Linked DNA regions of Drosophila melanogaster. The protein of the gene in region 1 interacts with the protein of each later gene in a pairwise test. Each region holds a gene or a part of one and is shown in the gene's direction. Other genes may lie near its edges.

Region 1 (6,850 bases):
GGCAAACATTAATGAGCCAAAGCCACTTGAATTGCCTGTGAAATACAATAAAAATATTAAATATTTAAGCACATTACGGTTATTAGAAGTGCACATAAGGATTTGAGTACATATGTGCTCAGTCACCGAAAGTGTTTGATGTTTAATGATCATCACGATGGGATATAGATATCCGAGTGGCAAGCCAAACAATGTTAAACAGGTTAAATATTATGAATACCATTGTTGAGCGAAAGATTTTTTCCTGATTCAGTTTCGCTTATCTCTCAATCTTATCTAACCCATGGTTATTGTAAACAATTATTCAAACAATTTGAAGATAATCTTGAATATGATAAAAATATTACTCAGTAGTGCTTTTGTGAAGGGGAAACGGCTCTATATGACATAAGTCATTAGTCATTATAATTACTCGGAAATGGGGCGATCATAAAAATGTGATTTCTCCCACAAGCGAAATGTTTCATTACATTTCATTGATAATTTCAAAAATTCAATGTCTCAGCGCCTAGATGAAGGCTACAAAAAAGTGAGAGGAGAAAGAACTGCTGCATTGACAAATGGAAAAGTAATGCGGAAATTCCCCGCTTTTCCTCCCGCTCAGGTAGATCTTAATTGAGCAAAACATTCATTGAGAAACGAGACAATCGTCCTTTTATGACACGCAATAATGAGCCTGGCTCACACACATACACTCTCACGGATTGGCACACACTCGCACACGGACACACACACACAGGCACTCGCAGATACACTTGGCCAAGCGAAAGGGTTAAGCGGAATAGGAAAGGCGTCTATGGTTTATGGCCCGAAATTAGAATGCGTTTTATCCGGGACCATAAACGTGGATAAATTGCCAGGATACCAGGAAGTAGCTGCCAGCACGCGCTATCAATGAACTGTGGATGCTTATGTTTCGGGTATCTTAGGTAGGATGCAGTGGGATGCTCGGATGAGATGCGGCTGATGCTGGCCAGATGCAGAACTGGGTCACTTTCGCAATGACTTGCCAAAAAGGTGAACTGCGCCGCTGTTCTGATGATTTGCTGCTGCCGCTCGCGATGCCTCGCCACGAATGCGAATGGGAATGAATGAGAGTGACATTGGCATACCTTAACCTCAAAAGGGAAAAAGCGGTACGGATACGAAAAAAAACTGGCTGAAAAAACACACACAGATATTATTAAATGTCTTGTTTGGGAGCCAAACCCAGCCAAGCCAAGCCAGGCCAGGCCAGGCCAAAACACTCGGTCTTTTTGTTTCTCTCGAAAAACAGAGCGTCGTCGCATTCTCAGTCTCCCCAGAGATTCGGTCTCCAGAACCCGTCTTAATGGTTTTTTTTCCACATTTTTTCTTTTTATTTTCTGATAGCACGCTACGGCGAGAAGGAGAGCGAGCGATTATTGATCGCATTAGGGAAAATCGTTAACTGTAACATGGCGTCGCTCAGCATTAGGCTAGGCCACTGCGAATGTATCTGCAGCTGTATGCGTATCCGGTATCTCTGCCCGTGTATCTCTGTCCGCACCGCTGAGGGTGTGTGAGTGGAGGGCGTTGCTGACTGCGGCCTGGCCACGCCCCCCCAATGGCCAGTTGCCTGGCAACCGGCCCTGCTCTGTTGATACAAGAGGCCAACCGACCAATGCGCTTGCGCCGCAGCACCACTGTGTACGTAAGAGAACCGCCGCCTGTCATTGGTAACTCCGCCAGGGTGGTGGTGAGACGCACTATACCGCCGGGCCATTGGCGAGAACGAGTCGGAGCTGGTGCTGCCCGGGCGCGTCGCTGCTGCCGCTGCCGCCGCTGTCGACGCCGACGTCGGCCGAGGCACTTGAGCGCGGCTCGAACAATATTTGTTGGCAGCAAGCGCAAGCCAAATAGTAGACAAGCGTTCCCCTCTGCAAACAGTCACATTCAAGAGCTCAAGCCAAAGAGACACTCGAGCGGACCAGCAGCTAAAGCGGCAACGGCAACAGCAGCATCAGCCAAAGCAGCAAAAGCAAAAGCAGCAGCAGCAAAAGCAGCAGCACAGCACAGCACAACTCCCAGCTTCAGACTTCAGTGGCCAACAGCCAGCTAGATATTCACGTTCGTGCGTCGGTGTTTTGTGGCCGCTCGGTGCGGCAGACAACAAAAATCCCCATACAAAAATACAAAGAAAATACAAAAAGAATCGAATCATAACAGAAAATAAATATATATTTTATATGATTATCCCGCACAAATAATTAAACCACGGTGTGTGTTTACAAACAAAGCTTAGAATCAGAATCAGAATCGCAAACGGAATCAGAACCTTCCAGCCAACAAGTGACAAGTGCCGAAGTGCTCTCGATAAAATGCCAGATATATGCAAACCGATTGAAGCAGTGATAGTGCACTGAAATCACAGTTGATATACAATATATCAGAGTAAAGCCACGTTTTAAAGACCTCCTTTTTGATTTTCGTTTTAACTAACGCGTTGCAGAACGCGTTGCCTTTTCCATCGATCCACCAGAGGGCAGCGCCTCCGAAAGCCGGCAACATAACGGCGCAACTATTGAACAGCTTTCTGAAGGGTAGCCCCCACCAGACCACCATTGACATCATGCAGAAGCTCTACGCGGAGCCGCCTCCGAGCAGTGCTCCGGTGAGCATGGCCAGCTCGGGTGGCGGTGGTCCTCCGTCGGGCGGCGGTGGAGGCGGCGGCGGAGGAGGAGGCGGTGGGCCCCCACCGCCCAGCAATAACAACCCGAATCCGACGAGCAACGGCGGCAGCATGAGTCCCCTGGCTCGATCCGCCTACACAATGAACAGCATGGGCCTGCCGGTGGGTGGCATGTCATCGGTTTCCCCTCAGGCGGCGGCCACATTCAGCTCCAGCGTCCTGGACTCGGCGGCGGCGGTCGCCAGCATGAGCGCCAGCATGAGTGCCAGTATGAGCGCCAGCATGAATGCCAGCATGAACGGCAGCATGGGTGCGGCGGCCATGAACTCAATGGGCGGCAACTGCATGACCCCCAGCTCGATGAGCTACGCCAGCATGGGATCACCGCTCGGGAACATGGGTGGCTGCATGGCCATGTCGGCAGCGAGTATGTCGGCGGCGGGATTGAGCGGCACCTATGGCGCCATGCCGCCGGGATCCCGGGAAATGGAGACGGGATCGCCGAATTCCCTAGGCAGATCGCGGGTGGACAAACCAACTACGTACAGAAGGAGCTACACGCATGCCAAGCCGCCATACAGCTACATCTCACTGATCACCATGGCCATTCAGAATAACCCCACCAGAATGTTGACGCTCTCGGAGATCTATCAGTTCATCATGGATCTGTTTCCGTTCTACAGGCAGAATCAGCAGCGCTGGCAGAACTCCATTCGACATTCGCTGAGCTTCAACGATTGCTTCGTAAAGATTCCCAGGACGCCGGACAAGCCAGGAAAGGGATCGTTTTGGACTCTGCATCCGGATTCGGGGAATATGTTCGAGAACGGGTGCTATTTGCGGCGACAGAAGCGTTTCAAGGACGAGAAGAAGGAGGCCATTAGGCAGCTGCACAAGAGTCCGTCGCACAGCAGCCTGGAGGCCACCAGTCCGGGCAAGAAGGATCACGAGGACTCGCACCACATGCACCACCACCACCACAGCCGGCTGGACCATCATCAGCACCACAAGGAGGCGGGCGGAGCATCGATCGCCGGCGTAAATGTCCTGAGTGCAGCGCACAGCAAGGACGCGGAGGCCCTGGCCATGTTGCATGCCAATGCCGAACTGTGCCTCAGCCAGCAGCCGCAGCATGTGCCCACACATCACCACCATCAGCACCACCAGTTGCAGCAGGAGGAGCTGTCGGCGATGATGGCCAATCGGTGCCATCCGTCGCTGATCACCGACTACCACTCGTCGATGCATCCGCTGAAGCAGGAGCCCTCTGGCTACACGCCCTCCAGCCATCCGTTCTCCATCAACCGCCTGCTGCCCACGGAGTCCAAGGCGGACATCAAGATGTACGACATGAGCCAGTACGCCGGCTACAACGCCCTCAGTCCGCTGACCAACTCACACGCTGCCTTAGGCCAGGACTCCTACTACCAGAGTCTTGGCTACCATGCGCCCGCCGGAACCACGAGCTTGTGACATCACCAATACCCGCTGGCTTAAGGACGCGCGGAGCAGATGCTGCGCTCGCAGCAGCAACAGCACTTGCAGCAGCAGCACCAGCAACACCAGCAGCAACAGCAGCAGCACCAGCTGCATCAGCAGCAGCAGCAGATGCAGCAGTCGGCGCAGCAACTGACATCCGCTTCCAATACACCAGCAACATCAGCAAAGGCCAGCGGCAAGGCGGGATCGGCTTCGGCCTCGGGATCTGGGTCAGGATCGGGTTCAGGATCGGGCTCTAACTACTCACAGAAGCTGCAACAGCAGCACCAGCAGCAGCAACAACAGCAGGCGGCGGCGCAGCAGCAACACCACCAGCAGCAGCAACAACTGCTGCAGGAACTGCAGGAGGACTCATCGAACATCACCAGCGATCTGAGCGAGGAGCAACTGCAGCAGCATCAGGCCGCCCAGCAGCAGTTGTACAACAACTATCAGCAGTATGCCGCGGCGGCAGGCTACAGAAATTGGAATCACGGCCTGGCTTTCAATGGAGCCGCCGCTCTGCAGAATCTTCTGTAGCTATAGCTATAGATCCCGATCTCCACAGGCAGCGGCTTTGTAGCGGGCCTGCCAATTAGCGAGTGCAGTGGCGGTGGCTTTTAGCACCTGGCCGCATCCGCATCCGCACTCGCATCCTCATCCTTTGAGCACGTGAGTCTTGGGCCGCAACTCGCACTTGTACATATAGAGATACCTATGAAGAGCCGATCGAGAGCGCTGCCTTTTGTGTTGTTCAGTTCCAGTACTATATATTGTAGATTATATAGATTCTGTTCCGGGGGGTTATTAAATCGACATAGAGCAGGAGGAGGAGGAGCGAAAGAAACCGTGATGTAGTTGTAAGTGCAGCAGAACTTTTGTTAACAATTTTACGTTTTGCTAATACAAATACAAAATAATAATTCCGTGCCATTTGTTTTCGTTGTTTCGAAACAAGCAATAACAATCAAAGCGGTTATAACTGAAAATTTGAAATCACATTTTAAATGTATCCGATTAAGGAGAAGATTGAGGAGAGGAGATGTAAAGAAGGGATCGTGTGTAATGTTCTTTCATAAAACAAAGCCCCAAATGAAACAGTCCCAAAAAGAGAGATACAAATACTAAACCCTTTATCCAAAGGCAATCGCAATCGAATTCGAATCGCAAAAGATCAAAACCAAAAAGAAATCTAAAACCGAAATCATCATATTGAGCAGTCCAGCAAAACCCTAAGAATCTTCAACTATCTAAGCAACAAAATCTGGCCATGCATAAGAAAACGACACGTTTTAACTGAATAATTTAACAAATTTCCATTTATATATACGCGCATCGATATACGCCCATGTATCGCAAAATCCCGCATTTCATTTACATTATGTGTCTTCTGTTGTTGTACGAATTCGTTAGATTAAGGCATTTTGTAAATAATCTATAAATAGATACATTTAAGCAACCCCCTCCCCAAGAAACCCAATTTAACTAAGGACCCATTGCAAGCAACCAATTTTTAACTAACTCGAGAATTAATCAAATTGTATGAAATTATGCCACACCACTTGAAAGTAAACATAGTATAAATATAAATACTGTATAGCATTTAACGTTTAATTAGCATAAATAATGAAAGCAAAAAACAAAAATGAAAAAAAATCACATAAAAAGCGAAACTGCAATTATTATTCAATAATTTTTAATATTAGTTATATTGTGCGTAATGAAAAATAAAAAACCAATTGCAAACACAAAACAAAGACCCATTTTTACATTGAGCTAAGCTAATTAATTAAACTTGATAAAAAATAGTCTAAATATAAACACCCACACACACACACACATACTGACACTGACAGACACAGAAACAAATGAAAATTATTGTAAAATACACAATATAAAATTCAATAAATGTCAACGCAAGAATTAAAATCCAACTCTAAAGCTAGTAAAATTAATATTATTATAAATCATGCAAAACAAACACAACGTCAACGACAACCAAAATCGACTATTTTAATGTTTGAAATACAAGAAAAAGGAAAAAAAGTACCATAAATTAGTTTTCATTTCCCAACCTTTGTTGACTCAAGCAACTGACCTCCAACAATCATTTATATATTGATTGGGCCGCCCGGATGGCTGACTATCTCCATCGACGCTATCGACGCTATCAATGCAGCGAATTCGAATTGAACGACCGATAGCTGAGCTGAGTAGTTCCAGGAGTCGCTATCTTATCGCCGTCACTCAGATGCAGAGTGCAGTTTTCCACCACTACCATGCCACGATAAACCCTTATCGCCGTGCACTCATAAATTGCAACGGAACAAGAAGGTAAACAAACAACCAGGATGGGACATGGGACCCATCCCAGCCCATCCCATACCGTCCTATACCGACCCATTCCCGCCCGGACTTGACACACTGACTAACCCATCTCAGTCCAGCACAACCCAGCCCGATCCCTCTGGCCAAAAAGAGCGGGAAGGGTAGTGGATATCTTCTGCCCGACTTGACTCGACTCCCCTCTGTTTGCTTTCTAGTAATATTCATGGAGCACTACGAGCCGAGTTCGAGCACCTTCCCTATCGCTGCAATGGACCTTATCGCTGCAATATAACCCAACAGAGCCTGATCCGACGCAGTTCCCCCTGGCGAACTACTACCACCTTTTGATTAAAATCGGTGTGATTCATTTGGAAGAATCTACGATCCAGGTCC
Region 2 (4,084 bases), 620 kb from region 1:
TCAAAACTGGCTTCGTACAACGCAGTTCGTGTCTTCTATGGCCCATCACCCTCATAATAATCATCATTATCATCGGAGGCGACGGTGGAAGTAGCATAAGCCGTGGCAACATCATTGTGCCTCGTGAAGGGATTCATTAATCATACGCCACGTTGACCCACATAATGTAATGCGCGCATAATTGTCAGGCGGACAAAAACTTGCCGGATAATCGCACAAAAGGCATTATGTAATTGATTTATTTGGAAAGAGCACACCCCTCATCAATGGTCCACAAAAAAAGGCATCAAACGGCAAAGACGCCGCACAGTGACAAGCTCAAAAAAGCCAAAGAAAAGCTGTCAATGCTTTTTATGCAACTTTGTCAACTTTGTCGGCAGATAACACTGGCCAACATAGACAAGTGCCAACTGTGAATTAACCACACAAAACTTATTTTCCGGACACTTGTCTCATTTGTCATTCTACCAAAACCAAAATATGCAAATATGGGTATTAATCACAAACAGACAAGCAAAGTTTATGGACACATCTTGCACAAGATCTGAAATCAATCATCATAGTACACTAAGGGAATTAATGCACAGAATTATAAGCTATAAAATGTATTATTTTCTCCATAACCATTTGATTTGAAAGTACTGTAGTCCAGTGTCGTCTCACCTTAAAAATCATCTGCTAATATTGCCTAATCATTGTCTACTAACTATTTATAGACTTCCTTGCGAATAAATTAGAAAAAATCATGACTTGCGAGCAACCATAAGAATTAACATTTTCACTTTTCGCTGCAGGGGCACTGTGCTACAGGAGTACGGAACGTTTTGGAGCGACATTGTGAACAAAGTGCAGGCGGAGCGGCCATAACTGAAATTATGTACTTACTTTTAAGGCAGCCGGGCAATAAATCTTAAAAACCCTAATTAGTCAAAACGAAATTGTTGTTTGAGGATTTTTTTTCGACTGCCATTCACCATTCCGACGTCTTGGACGTCGGACGCCAAAGGCGCCCCATTGAGCTGTGCAATCAACATTACAGGGCAAAATTATTGGCTTTTTGGCTCAGCGCTTATGAATGACCAGCCCACATCCCAGCGCCCAACGAGGCGAACCAGTTCCCGTCGCCCACCACAGACAGCACCTTGCCACCCACATCCGCCCACATCCTCCCACCCACTCCACTCCAAGTCCGAAATGGAACGCACGAGCCGAGCACGTTTGGGTTTCCAGACACGTTGGCCAGCTTCTCATAGGAAATTCGTTTTGGGCGCCCCGGCAAATTGGAAACTCTAAGCACCTTTCAGGCTGGCTGTGCTATAAAGTAATTAGACGGCCAACGAATTTGACCAAGACATAGGCCAAGATAAGTATTCGTAGCATAGGTCTAAAGCACTTCTGATTGATTGCCCTTACAACAATAGGAAGCGGATAAGGATAAGGAATCGGTTTGCAGATATGACCAGGCGTGCAAAAGAGTTCGCGGAATTGCTAATCGGCAGACGGTTTGTTTTGCTTGAAATTTACTACCAATTATGGTAGCCAACTTACTTAAGCCTTAGTTAAATATATAATGCCTAATATTGGTTATACTCTACAGATAATTCAATAAAAAGCTATGAAATCATAAACTCACTGTCGCATGCATCGAAGCTCCACTGTACATTGCACTTACACATTTCGCTTGCAGCTTGTTTACTCGCCTGCGAACTCAGTCGCTCGCTTGTTATTGTCATTCCAGCGAAAAGTGCATGGCAACCCACGCTGGCTTGGGGGCGGGGCACACACACGATGAAGTGGGGGGGTTACTGGGAAGCACTTTGTTTTCGTGCGTTGCACATATGTACATATGTATGTATGTACGTACATATGTAATTATATACGTTAGCCGACTTGTTTTGATCGAATTCGCCGTACCGCCGCCTGCCTTTGTCTGGCTTTATGGACTCCACAGGAGCGCAGCCCAAAATGGGGGGCTTGGAGTCGAACACCCTCCCGGTGGAGAATCCGTCCCTGGAGCAACCGAGTTCGTTGTCCAGTCGGGCGAATTTGAGTCTGGTTTTCCGCACGCGTTTTGTTTACTGTCCGGTGACTTGTTGCTGTTCTCTGTGCCCGCCTTCGTCTCGTTTATCAGCGATTGCGAATACTCGCACGGACTGCTCAACACTTTAGTCAATATTTAGCCGCTTCCCGGAGAGGTTCATAGATCGCAGACGCACTACATAGTATCAGCATGGTTATCAACTTCGCCGCCGGTCCAGCCAAGTTGCCCGAAGAGGTCGGTGAAATGGGTGGCACCACTCCACACACGTGACGTGTAATAGTAACCTTGATTACATGGTTATCTCTATCTGCATATATAGGTACTGAAAGAGGTGCAGGAAAATCTTGTCAACTGCAATGGCAGCGGCATCTCGGTCATGGAGATGTCCCATCGCTCCAGCAACTATGCCAAGATCCATGATGCGACCATCAGCGATCTTCGCGAACTCCTCAATGTGCCCAGTAACTACAAGATTCTGCTGATGCAGGGCGGTGGCACCGGACAGTTCGCTGCAGTGGCTCTGAACTTGATTGGCAAGACTGGCACTGCTGATTATGTAATCACCGGCTCCTGGTCGGCCAAGGCGGCCAAGGAGGCGGCTCAGTACGGCACTGTGAACGCGGTGCTGCCCAAGTTGGCAAAGTATACAACTGTTCCACGACAGGAGACCTGGAAGCTGGACCCAAATGCCTCATATGTCTACTACTGCGACAATGAGACCGTAGAGGGCGTGGAGTTCGACTTTGTGCCCGAGGTTCCAGCCGGTGTGCCACTGGTGGCCGATATGTCCTCCAATTTTCTGTCGCGTCCCTTCGATGTCTCCAAGTTTGGCGTTATCTATGCGGGAGCCCAGAAGAATATCGGACCAGCGGGCACCACGGTGATCATTGTCAGGGACGATTTGATAGGCAAGCACTTGAAGATTACGCCCTCCATCCTCAACTTTGAGCAGATGGACAAGAACAACTCCCTGTTAAATACTCCGCCGACCTTTGGGTGAGCCCAGAATGATACATGGCTGGTGAATTCTTTGTTAAACTTTCCCCTTGCAGCATCTATGTGATGGGCCTGGTTTTCAAGTGGATCAAGCGGAACGGAGGAGTCGCTGGTATGGCCAAGCTGGCGGCAGCCAAGTCCAAGTTGATTTACGACACGATCAACCAGTCGAATGGTTTCTACTACTGCCCAGTGGATGTCAATGTGCGTTCGCGCATGAATGTGCCCTTCCGTATTGGCAGTGCCAGTGGAGATGATGCCCTGGAGAAGGAGTTCCTGAGCAAAGCCGAGGCCGAGGGCATGATTCAGTTGAAGGGTCATCGGTCGGTGGGCGGCATTCGAGCCTCCCTCTACAATGCTGTAACGCTGGCGGAGACCCAACAGTTGGCCAATCTGATGCTGGCCTTTTACAAGAACAATAAAAATTGAACAGGTTCATCTGTAATTTGTTGGTTTTTGATCGTTTACAAAAGGCCGCGTTGGCGGAAGATCTCGTCCAGCTTGAGCTCCAGGTTGGCGTTGGTTCCTCGCAGATTGTCCACCACCTTTTTGGCCCAAACGAAGTACTGATCACGACGCTCCTGGAATGAAAATATGTGATCCATAAGGTTCCGTTTTTCAAACCAAGATGGGCCCAAATACCTGTGTCCACCCTGTCGGTGTGTTGACTTGCAGATCCCTTAGGTTATCCAATTTGTCAGCCAGCTTTATGAGCTTTGCTCTGCAGCTGCTTTTGGCTGCATTTTCTATTTGCAGGCGTTTTCTCTCCTGTTTCTCCAGGGACTTGTCGTCCGTCACCTCCCTCACTAGTCCACAAACATCCGGTCCAAAGAGTTTCTCAACATCCTCGAAAGATGCGTCCGTATCCTCCACGACATCGTGCAGAAGTGCAGCCATTAGGACTCCCTCATCTGTGATGCAGGCCTCCACGGAGAGAATAGTGCTCACATTGATCACATGGTTCACATAGGGGGTTTCCTGAGGATCCTTGAAATGTAAAAAAGATAGTATTCATGTTTTAAATATATCATTTGTTGCGTTTTAATA

What was found.
Region 2: the proteins of fkh (region 1) and CG11899 interact in a two-hybrid assay, tested with the Drosophila melanogaster proteins (one large-scale study listed by BioGRID).

What each region holds. Positions count from the first base shown.
Region 1 is NT_033777.3:28,580,294-28,587,143, reverse strand, and holds fkh (fork head), read left to right. Parts: upstream 1-1,879; 5' UTR 1,880-2,590; coding exon 2,591-4,123; coding exon of another isoform or gene 4,124-4,669; 3' UTR 4,670-6,168; downstream 6,169-6,850. UniProt on the Drosophila melanogaster protein: Fkh promotes terminal as opposed to segmental development. In the absence of fkh, this developmental switch does not occur. The nuclear localization of the fkh protein suggest that fkh regulates the transcription of other, subordinate, genes.
Region 2 is NT_033777.3:29,198,291-29,202,374, forward strand, and holds CG11899 (uncharacterized protein), read left to right. Parts: upstream 1-2,163; 5' UTR 2,164-2,230; coding exon 2,231-2,275; intron 2,276-2,360; coding exon 2,361-3,037; intron 3,038-3,093; coding exon 3,094-3,466; 3' UTR 3,467-3,480; downstream 3,481-4,084. Other genes in the region: CG14515 (uncharacterized protein), read left to right, coding at 795-867; Mesh1 (metazoan SpoT homolog-1), read right to left, coding at 3,502-3,618, 3,680-4,024. UniProt on the Drosophila melanogaster protein: Catalyzes the reversible conversion of 3-phosphohydroxypyruvate to phosphoserine and of 3-hydroxy-2-oxo-4-phosphonooxybutanoate to phosphohydroxythreonine.